Linked DNA regions of Danio rerio. The protein of the gene in region 1 binds, or shares a complex with, the protein of each later gene. Links are inferred from orthologs where the notes say so. Each region holds a gene or a part of one and is shown on either strand. Other genes may lie near its edges.

What was found. The genes of interacting proteins can lie anywhere in the genome.
Region 2: nsmce1 (region 1) and nsmce2 share a complex: the UniProt entries of both Homo sapiens proteins name them as parts of the SMC5-SMC6 complex. The link is inferred for Danio rerio from reciprocal best matches to the Homo sapiens genes NSMCE1 and NSMCE2.

What each region holds. Positions count from the first base shown.
Region 1 is NC_133178.1:43,207,012-43,211,197, reverse strand, and holds the start of nsmce1 (non-structural maintenance of chromosomes element 1 homolog), read right to left. Parts: upstream 2,928-4,186; 5' UTR 2,863-2,927; intron 769-2,862; 5' UTR 747-768; coding exon 629-746; intron 1-628. UniProt on the Homo sapiens protein: RING-type zinc finger-containing E3 ubiquitin ligase that assembles with melanoma antigen protein (MAGE) to catalyze the direct transfer of ubiquitin from E2 ubiquitin-conjugating enzyme to a specific substrate.
Region 2 is NC_133191.1:26,965,796-26,968,905, reverse strand, and holds the end of nsmce2 (E3 SUMO-protein ligase NSE2), read right to left. Parts: intron 816-3,110; coding exon 704-815; 3' UTR 656-703; downstream 1-655. UniProt on the Homo sapiens protein: E3 SUMO-protein ligase component of the SMC5-SMC6 complex, a complex involved in DNA double-strand break repair by homologous recombination. Is not be required for the stability of the complex.

The DNA.
Region 1 (4,186 bases):
AGATAACCTTGTATCACCTTTATCTCAATGTCACGGAGGAGCAGTCGGGTTTTCTCTGCGTTATAATCTGCTATATAAATAAACTTGCCTTGCGTCACCACAGCTGTTTCCTCCAGCAAAAAGTGTAACTCTTAATGAGCATTTCATTCATTCATTCATTTTCTTGTCGGCTTAGTCCCTTTATTAATCCAGGGTCGCCACAGCGGAATGAATCGCCAAATTATCCAGCAAGTTTTTAGCAGCGGATGCCCTTCCAGCCGCAACCCATCTCTAGGAAACATCCACACACACATTCACACACACTCATACACTACGGACAATTTAGTCTACCCAATTCACCTGTACCACATGTCTTTGGACAGTCGGGGAAACTGGAGCACCTGGAGGAAACCCACGCGAACGCAGGGAGAATATGCAAACTCCACACAAAAATGCCAACTGAGCCAAGGCTCGAACCAGCGACCCAGCAACCTTCTTGCTGTGAGGCGACAGTACTACCTACTGCGCCATTGCTTCACCACTTTTGTGTACAACTGAACAAAAAAAACTCAAACTGGTTTGAAATGATGACAGGATTTTCATTTTTGGGTTAACTCTATCCCTATCAGCGCAAGTGTTTTCTTCATACCTCCATGGAGCTCGCAGCACTTCTTGTGGAGCATTCCAGCCTGAGCTGCACTGACGATGCCGTTGGTCATCATGTTCTGCAGGAACAGCCTATGTCCGTCACCCATCTGTCTAGACATGACTGCTAAATGTCCTTTTCAGCTGGAAAACACATGTGTAGATAAGCTAAATTTCCCAAACTCAAGCAAACATGAGCTCAAATCGACATAAAACAAGTAAACCTACATGATATACCAACATAAAACTTTTATTGACATTTGAGTAGTTTAAAATAATATAACATAAAAAATAATATAGAGAAATAAACCTGTAAAATAACAGACAACTAGACAATATCTAACTTTTAACTATTAAAAGCATTTAAAAAAGTCACTTTTTCCACCTTTTTAAGGTTAAAAGTGATGAGAAGAAAGATCAAGGTCTCACAATGCAACTCAAAAGCATAAATAATAAAAAATAAATAAATACACAAATCACAAAATATGGGAACCCGTACTATAGTAAAGCACTTTACATTATTTAGCAGAATTAATCTGCTGTGGTAACACAACACCTTTGGTGATATAAACAAATTATCAAATAACGTTAGGGCTGTGCAATTAATTGAAAATACGATTTCGATTTTGGCTTCTAACGATTATAATGAACCATTAATCGAGATAATCGATTATTGCATCATATACCGCCGCCTTTCCAGTTGTACACATTAAAAGTCGAAAGACTGTGTGCTTATGTGTGTGTTTGTGCAGCGCACACACAGTCAGAAGCATGCGGTCAGCATTCGTCTCATCCGTACACTGAGACGAGCAGAGCGCACACGTCTTAAGTCATTAACGTGAGCGCTTTAATGGTCAAATAGGTGTCAAAACGCAGAGTGATTATTCATATTAACCCTCATTTGTGTAATAAACAAATGAGTTGGGAATCAAAAGACACGTGAAAGAGAAACCATTAAAGTGACAGAGCGATATTCCTTGTGCCGCCTGTTTTTATCATTATTAATAAAACAACAAGGAGAAAATCCACTACTGCTGTTGACTGAAGGACTTTTGTAGATAAAGTTTTTTTCTTACAGTGAAGATGCTTAAAGCAAAGTTGGTTTCATATTTTTATTCTATTGTATTTATTTCTCTTTCCTTTGAAGGTTGGAAAATAACTATATATATATATATATATATATATATATATTTATATATATATATATATATATATATATATATATATATATATATATATACACACACACACACACACACACACAGTTGAAGTCAGAATTGTTAGCCCTCCTCAATATTAGAAACCCTTTTCCCCCCAATTTTTGATTTATGGAAAGAAGTTTTTTTCCAACTTATTTTTAAACATAATAGTTTTCATATCTCATTTCTAATGACTGATTTCTTTAATCTTTGCTAAGATGACAGAACATAATATTCTACTAGACATTTTTCAAAATACAAGCATTCAGGTAAAAGTGCAATTCAAAGGCTTAATTAGGGTAATTAGGCAAGTCATTGTTTAACAGTAGATTCTTCTACAGACAATCAAAAAAATGTTGCTTAGGGGGCTAATAATATTGACCTTAAAATGGGTTTCAAAATATTTAAACCTGCTTTTATTCTAGCTAAAATAAAACACATAAGCCTTTCTCCAGAAGAAAAAAATATTAGAGGAAACACTGTAAAATTCCTTGCTCTGTTAAACATCATTTAGGAATTTTTTTTTTTCAATTCTCAGGAGCGCTAATAATTTTGACTTCAACTGATAATCGTTTTGAATAATCGTGATTACAATAAAGGTCAAAATAATTGTGATTAAGATTTTTCCCAAAATCGAGCAGCCCTAAATAACGTTACACTGTTTTCTACAACAATGTGGCATGTTATTTGACGTTACCACTAAGTTACAATACACCACAGTTTAGTGTAGTAAAATCTTAAGTAACGTAACATTATACTAATGTTACAGTATTTATTATTTATAAGTAGCTAGCCTTCATTTTAAAGACTTTTAATTATATACTATAATATATAAGTATAATACTCTTCACTATAGTTCGGTTCAAAAACACTGTGGTATTTTTTAAAAAACATTTTAAAAGTACTACACATGTACTATATTTTTGTATGGTAACATTTGTAACTCAATGCGAAATTTGAAATAAAATAAAACGACAGAACACTTGAAGAAAGACGAAAGTGTTTCGAGTAAAGCGACGTTTGTTTCTCATATACAAACCTTTGTTTTTAAATGTACAGACGAGCTGTCAGTTCGTGTAATATTCGCGGGTTCCCACTAGAAACACTTCCGGCCACGTGGTATGCGTTCTTCTTCTTCTTCTTCTTCTTTGAGTCCTCAATGGCAGATGGCGTCCTTTTTGTTGCATTACTGCCCCTTCTGTACAATTTTTTTTCCCTTTGTTGAGTCTTGTAGTTTTTTAAAGTTTCCCTTAAAATTCCAGGAAGCATTTCTTTTTTGTTTTTCGGCACATGCTACTTGTGATATTTACTCATCTGTTGGGTCATCATTTCTTGCCTTTCTTTTGTACATTTCCTAAAAGACACCAGCCTACGTATACAGTAATAGATAAATGCATATAGTTCATGTAGTTTCATACTTGTTAAATATTATTTGTAGAAAAATTTTTTTTAGTTTAGATTAAGTCAACATCACATTGTTGTACTCATGATATAGTATTGTATTTATTTAGTTTAAAAATAATTTTAACAAAATCTACTTTAATCATTTTAATCTTTTTTTTTTTACTTATTTGTAAGTGATTATGCATTAAACTAAAATTAAATATTAATTCATTCATTTTCTTGTCGACTTAGTCCCTATATTAATCCGGGGTCGCCAAAGCGGAATGAACCGCCAACTTATCCAGCAAGAAAAATATCAATATAATGTATTTATTAATATAATTAAATAAACTATTTTACGGACCAACTAACACTCCTATTTGGCCCTCAGGGGCCCCAGTTTTAAAAAAAATATTATGATAACTGACTTATATAATGACCTGCAAATCAGCAAACACGACAGGCAGCATTTGAGAATGATGATGGAATACATCCGTTTAACATTATTCAACATATTATCACCACTCACAGAGTCCAAATTATTATTATCCTGAACAGCAGCACATCACACTGAAAAAAATTATACAGAGATGATTCTTTGGATTTGCTCATTTGTTTTTTACGTAAAGTGGTTGTAAACAATTTATTTGTGTTGAATTTAAACAAACAAATTAAGTTGAACATTATTAAACTTAATTTTTGCAACAGTTCTCCATGTAACACTTTTTGAAAAATGCTGTTAATTTACTCAAATACCATTCTTCAGAGTATTACAGAAGATTTTCTTTTTATCTGAAGCACAGATTCTTTGGGATTGAGCCTAAAATTAATAAACAAAATTAAAAAAGATAAACCTAAATTTCTGGATCCTCATTAATTATGCGGATATTAATTTTGGTTTGCACATATGTAATTAACTGATAAAAGAGGAACACACACTCACAAATAACATTTGCTGTTTGTTAAAAACTTTTCAAATT
Region 2 (3,110 bases), on another chromosome or scaffold:
TGCAATTATGTTGAATAAACATTCGATTGTGAAATGAGTTTGGAAGGAAATCATTGTCATCGCTCTTAAAGCTCATTCACATAAAGAATCATATTGTAGATCATATTGATCATCATATTGGATCAGTCCTGGATGGCCGGTGTCCACTGCAGTTGAGCTCCAAGACCAATTTGACACACCTAAGCCAGCTAATCATCCTTTAAAAAGCATACTAGAAACATCCTGGTAGGTGTTTTGAAGCAAGTCGGAGCTACACTTTGCAGGACGCTGGACCTCCAGGACTGAGTTTGTGCAGCCCTGGTTATAATTGCTTGCTGCAGTTTGAGGTCTGATGCCTAGTGCTGAAGCTCCTGAAACCATTCTTACTCTGTCAAAAATGTATCATCAGCTGGGAAAAAAATTGTTTGAAAACTTAAGTAACGATTTAACATTTTTAAAGCTATATATTTGTCATCGTTGCCATCCTATGTTTGATGATGGGTTGTAGAATAAAAGATGAGACGATATGAGAATGATTAAAAACATTTTTGGAAAACGTCATAACTGACAGTGCAATAATATTTGTATTACAAATGTAAACTTTAAATGTATATAAACAATAACATGAACCAAATTTGCATTCAGTTCTAGCTTTCAGGGATTTTTCTAGAACAAACCATGCTCCCAATTCAGTGAGAACAGCCATAACATCTGCATGATAGTTTTAGGTTTTTCCGCTCTGTCTCTTCTGGTTCTGGATCATTCTCTTCATAATCAGGTCCAGCTCAAGATCTGACTCCTGTACATCTGCATTTCCACAGCCAACCTTTGGACAACTGTGAAGAAATATGGGAAAGTGGCATTTTTACATTATTCTGCAAGTTACTGTTCAAAAGTTTGTGGTACACATCATTTTTACCAAATTCCTAATATTAATTTATATATTAGCTCAACAAAAAAAAGTTATTATGGAGAGAGTTAGTTTTTTGACTTAATATAGTCTTTTTGGCCAATCAAAATAGACACAGTGTGACGTTAACATGAAACCATGCTTTATTCACTCTAAAGGCAACCATATAACACGGTCTCAATTGTTTATCCCCTATGCCATTTACTCTAAAAAATAGTCACTGTATAGACGACTTCACTGCAAATGTCACAGTTGCCTGTATGCTGACTATACATTTTTTTAGGTTTGTTTGCCATAGACAGGTGAGCATTACAGTAGCCCTGCTTTCAGGGGACCCTCTCTGTATTATTACGATTGCATTAAACATGGCAGATCAAAAAAAGGTGTTGCTGGCAATCATTTTTTGCTATTTTATATTGAACCTTCATATGACAAATTACAGTCATGTCTTGTAGGAGGGTCGACACTTTAGATACTAGAGAGCATTTGATTGGTCTAAAGATTCAAAGAGAAGCTGTGATGTACGGTTTTGTCATAAAAATAGTTGATTCTGTGATGAAAAATTGTCAGAGAAAACTATTCTAGGATTTTTTTTTGATTAATCGCTAATCAACTGAGCTTAGTTTTTACCTGCAGATTGTGCTGTATGCTTTACAAACAGCCATACTCAGCTTGCATTTAATTCCTTATAAGTACTACGTGAACCTAAAATAATCAGTGATAAATTTAATGAAGGTTTAAAAGGCACCTATGATGAAAATAAAATTTTGTAAGCTGTTCGGACAGAACTGTCTGCCGATGTAGTGCGTCTACTGTCATACTGGGGTGATATAAACCCAACATGTCTCTTTTTTTTTTTTTTTTTCTGACGTTAAAATAGGATCCATATCCCAGTGATTTTAAGGCCCACCACAACGTGATGTAGGAGTGCAATTTTCCCCACCCACCAAATGGACTGACAAGTGCCACATCTTCATGAGAACATGTAAACGCATGTCAACAGACCATTTTCTGCAAAGAAACTGGGATTAAAACATATGTTAGAACTCTGTGTGATCAGCTGCACCTCAATGATTAAGTTTATAAGGTTATAACGTTTTTAAAACATGCATGCTTGTGATAAAGAGAGTAAAATCGGCATGTAATTCTTAACCGCCATAATCACCACGGCCTCATGGTGGCAGTAAATGCTATTATATGTGTGCATATGCGCATGTACTGCAAATGGCATTTGTGTGTGACTCATCGTTTCAGAAAGGCTTGAATAATCTCCACCACAAATACATCAATTAAACCTGGTATTTTTGACTAGTGGCCTTATTTCAGCTTCATCCATGGCTGCGTCCGAAACCACATACTTCCATACTATATAGTACGCTAAAATCAGTATGCGAGCCAAGTAGTATGTCCGAATTCATAGAATTCGAAAATCAGTATGCGAGAAGTACCCGGATGACTTCCTACTTCCGGCAAGATTCTAGAGTGCGCATCCCATGCATGCTGTGCTATACCATGATGCCCCGCGAGCGAAATCATGAATGGGAGTAAAGCGACACAATTGACGCAGGTCAGATGTAGTACGTCCGAATTCCATTCATACTTTTCACGTTCATACTGTATAGAACGTACTTTTCTAACGGCCGAGTAGTACGTTTAAATTCAAATGCAGTACCTACTGAGTAGTAGGCGGTTTCGGACGAAGCCCATGTCTTTATCCAGCCAGACACACATGTCGAAGCAGAAAATTTGGATTTAAAGTCACAGGCTACACAAACAGCTACAAAGTAACGATCTGTGTGGGACTGAAATTTTAATCCCACTCCTGCCAAGTTTTATACCGCACCCGCCGTATATTCAGTCTTTGTCCACCCGCTGCCCGACCCGCCCTGTTTTCTACCCGAGCCAACCGTTCCTGCTAAATTTAGATCTGGTTTTCAAAATCTCACGTTAAAATTGGGCACTACCAAGAGAGATATGACAGAAAAAAAAGTGTATGTTGTGCAGGGAATGTAGGCAAAATGTCAGTTTTGTTTGCCCCTTTGCGCGGTGAGGTTTGTGGCTAGTGAGGCACTGAGTCCTTCAAAGTCAGATTTACAAACATATCCACTCAATATATTTCACAACTACCGATTGTGTTTTATAGATCATATCAGCATTATTTCTATACACCTAGCAGGTACATATTGGGCCACGAAAGAATGTAAAGTGGTTAAATAGGCCT